3 linked regions of the Drosophila melanogaster genome follow. The protein of the gene in region 1 interacts with the protein of each later gene in a pairwise test. Each region holds a gene or a part of one and is shown in the gene's direction. Other genes may lie near its edges.

Evidence for each region.
Region 2: the proteins of Syx8 (region 1) and Eglp2 interact in a two-hybrid assay, tested with the Drosophila melanogaster proteins (one large-scale study listed by BioGRID).
Region 3: the proteins of Syx8 (region 1) and CG32450 interact in a two-hybrid assay, tested with the Drosophila melanogaster proteins (one large-scale study listed by BioGRID).

The regions. Positions count from the first base shown.
Region 1 is NT_037436.4:16,585,608-16,589,057, reverse strand, and holds Syx8 (syntaxin 8), read left to right. Parts: upstream 1-2,000; 5' UTR 2,001-2,079; coding exon 2,080-2,617; intron 2,618-2,670; coding exon 2,671-2,831; 3' UTR 2,832-2,950; downstream 2,951-3,450. Other genes in the region: l(3)73Ah (lethal (3) 73Ah), read right to left, coding at 1-38, 101-206; CG32163 (uncharacterized protein), read right to left, coding at 1,258-1,689; UQCR-C2 (Ubiquinol-cytochrome c reductase core protein 2), read right to left, coding at 3,034-3,450.
Region 2 is NT_033778.4:23,614,680-23,618,512, reverse strand, and holds the start of Eglp2 (entomoglyceroporin 2), read left to right. Parts: upstream 1-1,758; 5' UTR 1,759-1,910; coding exon 1,911-2,002; intron 2,003-3,802; exon of another isoform or gene 3,803-3,833.
Region 3 is NT_037436.4:22,327,651-22,331,263, forward strand, and holds CG32450 (uncharacterized protein), read left to right. Parts: upstream 1-2,127; 5' UTR 2,128-2,243; coding exon 2,244-2,507; intron 2,508-2,566; coding exon 2,567-2,779; 3' UTR 2,780-3,007; downstream 3,008-3,613.

The DNA.
Region 1 (3,450 bases):
CTTCTCCTCCAGGTGCTTCACCAGGCAACTCTTGCAAACTGTAATTGCAACAAACACTGACGTTATTGGGCAGGTAGTGTTCCATGCCGGACCAACTCACATGTGTGCAGACACTCCGTCACCGTGGTGGCATCGATGAAGTAGCCGCCGCAGATCTTGCACGTTATGTGCGGATTGATCGTCTTCAGCTTCACGCGCCGCTCCATGCTGGCCCCCCGATTGTGTGCTGAACTACGTTACTATATCCTATTTATCCCTATTTTGCAGCGGACCGATGGCTTGCCTTGCCTTTTCGATTTCCCACTCCCGCGCGGAAAACGCTCAAAACGGCGGATGCGCTCGCTTCCGATTAGTGGGAATGCTCGCGCACGCTTGTACAGGCACTCGGCATTGTGGCCAGCGGATTTTGGTCGCGATTTGTTTCCTTCTTGGTTGTAATTTGAAACAAATAAAATAGAAATCACGACTAAATAAATTGTGTGTACGTGTGAGCTAGCGATGGGCGATAGTTGCGTACCTGCTACTAGTCGCGATTATTTCACCGTGACAAGTCACCGCTTTGGCGGCATGTCACGACTCCATATTTTTCAAGTACAAAATTGACGTAGCACAGCAAATTTTAAACAATATGAATCAAGCATACCAATTGCATACTACTTTTATGAAATCCTGCAGCATACTTCCAAAATATTTATAAATAGCGCTCATTGTAACCCAGTGATTTCTTCACACCTTGTGTCACAGCCATCGTAGCCCAATGCATGCATGTGTGGGTGAATCGTGTCACCATATCGATACCGTGACTTTGTCCACCGCGCCGGGCCGGTCCCAACTATCGTATGTGCGTGGGTGGCCGGAGTCTGGCAACGCCCTTTGCTAATTTCAGGGTGGTCACACAATGCAAGGTGGTATATATGGAAATTAACAATTTTTTAAAATATATTGTGAAAACTAGTTTACATATTTTAAAGAGGTAATAAAACATTTGTTTTTAGAAGCATAACAAAATAGCTTATATAAGAAACCGTAATTTCGTCATTAAATATAATCTGTTACCTTTCGGTTTAGAAATTTTGAAATAATTTAAAAATAAGCCAATTCAAATTATTTTCATGTAATTTTTCAAAAACCGAAGGAATTCAACAAATCTGAACGCAAATATACGTTTATATGTATGGTGTCTATGTGCATAGTGGGGGGATTTATTTGTGTTCAGTTTGATTGTGTCGACAATTTTGAAGTTTTGTTTTCGGTTCCCTAATTTAATATGTACTTGGCGTATTGCGGCTCATACTTGTCGATGTAGTGCTGGACAAACCGACACCTTATAATAATGAAGTGCCCATTCAACAGTGCGTAGTCCAGTGCCGACTTGGCCAGTAGCTTCCCAATGCCATGTCCGCCCAGTTCCTCCGGGACGTTGGTGCTGTTGATGGTCATCACACCGTCCCTGATGGAGTATACCAATACAGCCCGGAGCTCGCCAATGTCGGTGTAGAACCGACCTCTCTTATGCCGGACAACAATGTGCGTACCAAAACATCTTTCCTGCGAATTTAGGTTTGGAACCTTTAAAATTTGACCAGTTAGGGTGTGGTTACTTGTGGGGATGGTGTAATCTCTCGAGCACAAGGAATACGTTCTTCGGCCACCTTGCAGAATCAGAATTGGAAGCAATTTGGAAAGCATTTCTTAATTTTTGTGAGTAGTTTCAGGAATTCGGGCCGAATAATCATACTTCACATCATAGTGACGATTTTCGAGTGACCAGCTTAAATTATTTAGTAAATAGTTCACACTAGCAACGCACCTGCGAGGTGAATTGATAAAGGATTGGGGATTAATCGCGGTGCATTTTTCCAGCTTATCTACAGCTACATAAGTATAATATCTAAATCAGTTCAAACATTGAAGATTATTTCCGAATCCCTTCTTACTGGCAATGTGACCGTACTCGCGCTTACTTATTTTGCTACCAGCCATCAGCTGTTGCTCGGCTATTGTTTTTGTTTTTGTTACTTGGATTGCTGGAGGCGTAGTTTTCTGCTTTTGATAATTACTCATAGCAAAAGCAGAGAAATGGCGCTGGTGGATCACGATTCCTGGGACATCGAGTACGAGGGCTGCGAGCGACTGCGGCATCAGCTGCTGGTATACCTCAACCAGCGGCAGCAGCTCAATCCGAGGACGAGCCAGTTCGTCCAACTGACAAGCAGCATTCAGACGGGAATAGAGCAGCTGGCCAAGGACATGAAGCACCTCAAGGTGGTGCTGGACAACGCCATCACCTGGGAGACGAGCCCGGAGGAGGAGCTGCAACAGCGGCGCATCGACTGGGATAGACTTACTTCGCAGCTGCGCGAGATCCGCGAGAAGTTCGCAAACAGTAGCCGCTCCAATGTCCCGGCCGCATCCGGTTCTGCTTGGCAGGATCAGGATCTCGGCCCAGGTCACAGCAATTCCTCGCGGAATACCGCCTTGGATGTGGAGGCTCTGAAGCAGAAAAAGACCGAGATGCTGGCGCAGCAGAACGAAGGACTCGAGGTTCTATCAGCCACATTGTCCAGACAGCGCCAACTGGCCACACAGCTGGGCAACGAGGTGGAGGACCAGAACAGTGGGTATTCCCCAGTCCCTGCACTACCAATGCTAATCCCTACCTCCTTGTAGATATCCTTGACAACTTGGCCAATGCCATGGACCGTGTGGAAACGGGTGTGCAGCGGGAAACACAGAGCATTGGACAGGTTAACCGGCGGGACAGTACCTGGGGCTACTGGCTCGTCATCATAGCCTTGTTCGTCGCCATCATTGTCGTGGTCTTCGTCTAGCTCCCACGATCCATTCCAGTTGTTATACTACTTTATACTATGACCTGCGTGGAATGTCTATCTGTTAACCCAAAGTTTGATTATTTATGTATACACCAATTAAAGTAGGATTTATAAGTATTTACGTTCGCGGATCGATCCCCTTGATCAGGTTTATTTAGTCGTTACATTACGGTTAACAGATGTACAGGTGTTTATATACTTAAGCCAAATCGGAGGCGTAGGGCACGTTCGCCAGGTGCCCGATGGCGCCGACGGCCAGCTTGGAGCTGCCCACCTTCTTGGCCGCCTCCTGGACCTGCGACTGCGAGATGCCATCGATTGCGCCAAGCAGGGCGTCCGCCTCCAGCACGTTCCGGGTGAGCGCCGCCTGGCGACCGATCTCCTTAATTAGACCACCGTCCGACGAGTAGCGCGAGATGATGCGCGCCTTCAGAAGAGCCTTGCCTCTGGCCACATCCTTATCAGACACCGAAGCCGACTTCAGGCCGCGCACCAGGAACTCCACGGTCTTGCCAATGTCCTTGGAGTCGGCGGAGACCACAAAACCGAACAGACCAGCGTCCGAGTAGCTGGCATTCACAGCCTTGACAGAGGCTCCGACGCCGCCGGCGCAGTT
Region 2 (3,833 bases), on another chromosome or scaffold:
ATTATGGCTGAAGTAATTAAGATATATGTAAATATACTGCATATTCATTTATATAAAAACATAATGCCTCATTTCTTTTTAATCGCTTACCATTTGGTTATATTTGGTATATATCCAATCTAAGAATTTTATAATTAGAAACGGAGGTATTATTATTATTTATGATCCCTAAAAAAACAACCCACCCCAGTAGCTACTTCCACCACTGGGGTTCATATATCACATCCTTTAACAAATGAAGATGTACATTTTATTACAAACAATTAGTTAATTATAAGAAGAACATTTTTCTACCACTGCTTTGTAAAGCTCTTACTAATTCCGTAATACCCCCTTTTAAGGGTATAAAAAGCTGGTCGTTAGGAAATGCAAGCGAAAGCTTGAAAAGCTTTCAGTGGCGCCATAAATACATCTTAAGAGCTGCGTTTGTTTTTGGAACCTTTGCTGAATGAATTTTCAAAAATAAATTTATAAAATATGATTCGTTAAGGAGAACCTAGAATAAGCACTTTCGCAAAAGAGTTGAAAAGAAATAGAAAATCAGAAAAATGCCCAAAAGTATGCACCCATTAGAAGAGCATCCGTAAAGTATGCAGTATCTTTTGAAAGTATCTTGCAGGCAATCGCAAACCCTTGTAACGGTAGTAACAGAAGTCCTATACTCCCATAAAATTCGTTTATGAATTCATAAACACAGTAAGCTCATTTCAGCTATCTATTTACAGTCTACTCACAGAACAAACGGTTATCATTTGTTTTTACAACCCGAGCAATACTCGTCCGCTCAATAAATTGCTTTCCGATAAGTGATATCGAAGCGGGCCTCCAATATAGTGGATAAAAAAAGAACCGCCCCCATTGCAGAGCACTAAAACAACCCCATCATATTGCACGCGAATGAAACTAATCAAATAAAAAGCCGATCTTTGCGTCAATGTGGAATTGCTATGGGGGATTTATAAGGCTTTTTTGTATAAATCCATACATGTACATACACGAGTGATAAACTCCAACTAGCATACACTGTGCGAAACAATGGCAAGCAATTGCGGCAGCAATTAAATGGGTTGCCCAAAAAAAAAAAAAAACCTCAAAGAGATCACTTCAATTTGTGATGACCCTCTACGTAATAGTTCACCGAAAACCTGTCGAATCAAAACAAAAGTCGAAAAAACACGAGGGCAAGTGGAAAATTTATGTACTCGACCAAGCGGATACCACGCAGACATTTTTAATGGATGTCCAAAGTAGCATGATCCCTTCGCAACGTAACCATCAGTTTTCACTGTCAGTTATTGACAGGAAAGTATTTGTAATGAAAAAGCAGAAATAGTCGAACATTTTTTGTATCTCAAGCCGTTTTGTGGGTAATCTTTTTGTGTGGAGTATTTAAGGCTTACTCATCCTCCAATGCTCCAATGCTAGTTCATTATCAATTTCAATTCGGTCGGGTAAAATTCCACTTGTGTAGTTCGGCTATATGGCTAAGGAAGTCGTTGATCAGACCCTCGGCACTATCTAGATTGACGCGCATCGCATTCGTTTGGGGTATATACCCACCTGGTGATTGGGTATCGTGTCTAATGGCACTTACGGTTTTTGCTGCCTCGATTTTATGGCATGCCTTTTTTTTTTGCGCGATATTTGATTTTGATGGGCGCTTTGGCTTTTGCTCTTCGGTTTTGTTAAGCGGCGACATCGACATCGACATCGTTTACTCTCCGCCAGTCAGCTATAGCCGTAGTATAGCTATAGTCAGTCAGTCAGTCAGTCGATTCATGAAAATTACCATTGCAAACGGGCAATTCAATTAGTTGCTACGCCGCGTCAAGTGCTTTACAAGTGGAGAGAAAAGGCGAATAAAGTAGCGACCAAACAATTGGAGTTGAAGTGAGGAATCGAGGAGGGAAATGCCAGTGCAACAGCCGCAGTCCGCGGAAATCGGTCATCAAATGAAGATGAGCAGCGAAGAGCCACCGAGTGGCAAACAAACGTGCAGAAGGTGCGACATCATTTGCTATTTATTACAAAACTATTTCGTATACCCATTTCTGACACACTTTCGGTGCCACGTTGAGTATGCGTCACGTGCGCATAAGCGTTGCCAGCCCCCCCCCCCTCTCTTACCAGGCAGCAAAAACAGAAAGCCAACATTTATTTTTGGCTGCGGCATCGAGAACCGCACTGCAAATACAAGAAAACACAAATGCCGCCGCATTTGTTTATTTATTTTGCATTTTCGCAGGCCGTTTAACCAATTTTCGGTGACTCCCGACGCGGCTAGACAGAAACGAAGTGTCCATAAATCAAGCTAGTCTGGCCTGGACCAGTAAATAATATAATAATAATAATATTAATAATAATAATATGGTATATGAGTATATAAAGTCCAAAGTGGATCGAACACTGTGTCACATGCGCGTGAGTTTACGATGGCTGCTCGATAAGCAACTCTCGAAAACATCAATCGCTTCTATTCGCGTCTTTGATTCGTTGCGGTTTCATTGAATTTATTTATTAATCTAGCGAGCTAAATTGCTTCTACCTCGATCGCTGGCACACATAGTTTCTATGTCTATGTTCATAATTTATTATCGAACTTCAAATGTGTTCCGCCGCTAATGCTAATGCTTTGGGTGCAAGTCGGCGAGTGATTTGAGTGTCAAGGCCACAAGGAAATCCGAATCCGTCATCGCGATAAAGCTTTCGATAAGTGACGTACCGCTGGTCGTGGATGATAAGCAATGCTATCTGAAGTGAGTGCCATGAAAATCCAGCCAGGAATCTTACGGGTAAGTTTTCCAATCACCGCAACCTTGAAGGTAAGTGTAAACAGTGCCATTAATCCCCGCTTCCCTCTTGATACGCTCTTATCAAAAAGGGCGCGCCACTTAAATTTTATGGATGTTTTTCAATTGACAATCACTCGCTTGCCACGGATTTTGTCATCTGTTGATTTATTTTATAGCACGCTTTTAATTATTTAATTTGGTCTATCTCTTGCTCTTCCTATCAGTTTTGATTTGTTTTATCAGTTGGGGAGCGCCACTTGAGACCAATTGAAGTGTTTTTTTTTTTTAGGTTTCACTACCAACCTCAGCATCTGAGGTGTTCTGATAATTGGCGGAAATATTAGGCAAACAGGTATGACTGTCATATTTATTCGAACTTATAATTGCACAGTTTGCATGACTTCCATGTGTCCAAATATGGGAACTTTGGGTTTTTAATTGTTTACTCGGGACTGCGTGACTATTGTGTCCGTAAGTATGGGTTTTATATTAGACTTTATTTGTTTAACTAATGTAAATAGCAAAGTTGTTTTAGAAGTGATGCACCTGTCATGGATTTAATGAGATAATCAAAGTTTAAATTGATAGATTCAGCCTCTAATCTTGTGAAATATCAAATATTTCGTTGGCGTTATTGAAAGAACTCGGTGAATCATGATGAGCGTGTTTTTTATTGATATCAACAAAAACCCGTTCCCAAACTCCACTGTCCACTGCTTTACACTGCTTGCCGGCTGCGAGCTGTTTGCGCTGCTTGAAATAAAGCGCATATCAAAGTGAACTTAGTTGCTTGATAACGCTATCAAAAGCTCACATCACCGGCGTAAGAACGCAGCGTCGACTGAGCAGCTGGCAGTTGGCGTTTTTCAGCAAGCTTCGCACTGCTTGCTTGTGCTGGAAAGCAGCAGCAGCATATAGCTAGAGCAATCATACGCCATGGTGTCCAGCTGCGACGCCGACTGCGCAGCCCACTCGCAGTCGATCGCGCGTATTTAGCTGGAGGCCTTTTCCACACTCAATAGCAAACAAACGATCGATCGG
Region 3 (3,613 bases), 5.7 Mb from region 1:
TTCAATCTGCACACACACTAGGGTTGTATATACTTATATATCGTAACGCATTAAATCGATAACACGATTTTTCAGCACGCACACAGCTCCCCGTCGAACCCGTACTGAAATCCAAAACAACTGGTTGACTGTGAGTTAAATTGTCAGTTTCATTACGTGGCAGCTTTCATAGCGTCTTTTGCTGTCTGCTTCCTGCCCCGGAACTCCGGAATGTTCCTTGCTTTTTTAAAGCCAAATCACTACGACTGCGCGTGAGCGTTCCCCGTCACTTCGCTTGCAGTGCGACAAGCGATTTTTCAAGTTGCCGCTTCATCGTTCTGCGGAGCTGCTTCTCCGTCTTTTTTGTTCGGTGCGGTTTCGGGGCTCTGCGTTCTGGGCGCCAACAAGTTCAATTTTCGGAAAAGGGCAGGAGCGCATCGAGAGCGGAGAAGCGAAGCCCCTGGGACTCCTCGAAACCGGCGAGTCGTGCGTTCTTGAGAACTTAAGGACCTCGACGCTGGTGAGTTCAACAAACATTTAACTGATTGCCTGGCGTGTCTTCGTGCCCAGCCCTGTCTGATTTTTTGATTTGCTATACACCTGGGAGCGGGACGGCCCTTGGCCACGAAAATGTTTAGCTTATTTGTTAGCGCTGCAAAATAAATTGTGTGTGCGTGCGGTAATTGTAAATTGCGTACGGGCAGACAGACAGTGGCGATTGTCAGTGGAGCAGCCGAGTTATTGGCACCTCTCCAACGTACGGGTATGCCATGAATTTTTGATCGAACAATGAGTGGATCGAGGGTTGCCACCTTTTGCCAATACGATGAGGTTGGCGAAGGCAGCAACAAACTAGGCTTTTGATTGCAAGTCCCCATCCCCATCCAATCCAATCTCGTTCCGTACGCCCCCAGCTAAGCCAATTCAATCAGGGGACCTGCCTGCAACCCTCTGAGTAATCCACTTTTGGCCTCCCGAAAGTGCGCAACAATTTCTTTTAAACTTCCTGCTGACACAAATCAGACCGAGGCCATAACTCAAACTATCTCCACCTCCGCTCGGCTGAATCAATAACCATAAACCGAAGCTCCTTATGCTCACGTGGAGGAGCCGCATAAAAAGTATGCCACATGCTCGGGGAAATCACTAAATTCAGCCTGAGGCAACGTGTACCTCATCATTTATGTGTGGCAGGGGCAAGAAACGGCGAGCCCGAAAACCAAGCAATGCCCACCTTCATAACTGAGAGTGCTTATCACGCCCACTTCCCCTTGATCCCCTCCTGCCGATACCGCCAACTACCGAGTACCGACTACCGTCTACATGTGACATTTGCATGCTTACTTAAACAGCAAAAAGCAGCATCTACGACAGCCACGTCGAGCTTGGCACGTCTGCGTCAACTATACTTTACATTTCGGCCAGACTGGTTTCGGTTTCGGTCTTGGTCTGAACCAGATGCTCAGTTGGAGTCTAGGACCCAGAAGGCCAAAAGAAGGAGAAGGCCCACTAGTGTTGTCAGTAGGCAGTCACAATCCTGTCGACGTCACATCAGCACACGTGTGTAGTAAAAATCAGACGTGTGGGCGCTGCTCGAGGAGCACACAGGCCTTGGCAATGTCGAGGCGCTCTAGTTGCCGCAGTCGATTCGAGTCGAGTCCTGCCTAGTCCTGCCTCCATGTACTTTGATTGCTTGCACGTTACCCGTACAATTTTCGGTATGATGGCGGCAACATTTCATGATTTCTTGTACGTGTTTCTGGCAGTAAGCACGCGTCCTTTCCTCTGCCGCGCACACCGTGTCCTGCGACCCTGGTCCTTCGCCCCACATCTATTCCGGCTCATGGGTTCCGGGGTAATGTATGCAAGCACTTTTTGTATATGACGCCGTTGCGCTTTGGGTCCTCGTCGTGTTTGTTTGCCTGGTGACTGATGATGGTTTGGCTGGTTTTGCTCAGCTCCCACTTTAGCTTCATTTTCCACCGCCACTTCTGTCGCTAGTTTTTCACCAGCAGCATCGATTCGAGCGTATGTCCTGCTAATAAATCAATGACGCCATTCCGGGGCTCCCAAGTAGGCGATGATTTATGTCTGGCTAAAGGGTTTTCACGAATACCGGGCCTAATTGAGTTGCCCTTGATGGATCAGTCATTTTTAGAGTGCTGCTTGTCCAGTACCAAGTAGAAGTCGCTTTAGAACAATCTAAAATTCGACGTTGCTGTTTTTTTTGGTTTAACATTCTCTATATACATTTTTTTAAAAATATGGATATAACGGTACCGCCGCCGGACTCGCACTGGTCGTTGAGGTTTGTGGACATCGTGAAGCCTTTTCCAAAACATACTTTGGCCAATGCCACTTATAAGATCATTCGCTTCTTTTACCCACCCTTTGCCCTGGAAACCGTCGATGTCACCCACGTGGTCAGCGATCCCGAGCTGAATAGTTTAAACGTGGGGCTGTTTGTGGTAGTTCCCTTAATTCTGGCCTGCATCGGCTATGGGGTGTACAAATATGTGCGGAGTATGGTAAGTTTTGTGCGTGGACCTATAGCCCCTGACCTCTGACCAAGTCTGACCTCGAGCAGCATACAGTGGCTAAACGGACACCATTAAAATTGTACGAGCTTGAACAGCGTATGAAAGACAAGTACGGTCCGGAATACAAGCAGGGAATCTGGAAGCGAAAGGACATTTCTGACCCCCTCCTATTAACCACTGATCCATCCGAACCAAAAGCAAAGAGATGTGAAAGCAGCAATGCCCACTGGCTGCGCAAAACCGATAGATCCGATGATTAATTAAATCAACACTCAGTTGGATCCCCACTCGGATATGACTGGGGATCTTAAAATCGAGAATCGAGGAAAGTACCTTCTCGAATCCAACCAGGCTTTGTACCCTTCTAAGCAACAAAATCGATATGATCCTTCAATTCCGTTTAATGATTGAGACCTTTTTTGCGACTGGAAAAGTGTCAGCTTTGGGCTTTCTCGTTTGGCGCAATAAAATGAAGTGATTGTTTGGTTTTTTATGTTGCAAAAACACACTGAACCCCGCAGAGCGAAGGGAAAGACATTGCACATAGGATTAGGTGGGGGTTTTGGGGCCAAGTCCTGGGTAATCATTTGGCAGCGCATGTGTCGGATTATTTTGTTGGTTTGCGTTTTATTTAAATTTGCTTCTTTCGGCTGCCTTTTTGCTCGTGCGGTGGTTGTTTGTCGCCCGAAAATCTGACAGCAGCTGAAAAGCATGCTAAGCTTCGTGCTTTCTTTTTGCTCTGGCTCAAAGCAAATTAATGATTTGCCATCAAGCAAATAAATCAAAAGCTTCAAAGCAGATCTCTGGCTTAGCGCGCTGCGCTGTGGTGCGGTGCGATGGGATCCTGGGGCTGGCTGCGATTTAAGTCCCTTTCATCTCGGCCTGCTCCACTTTAAAGCCAGTCCCGAATGCATAGTTTTATTTCGCAGCTATTTCCACTCAACTAAGCGCATGCATTGATGATATATCCCCTTCCGTGTGACACCCCTTCCCATTGACATGACATAAATAACCGTGTGAGGCTGTTATAATTTATAATCCTTGCTCTGGACCCCCAGCAACAATAATACCAACAACAACAACAACAACAACAA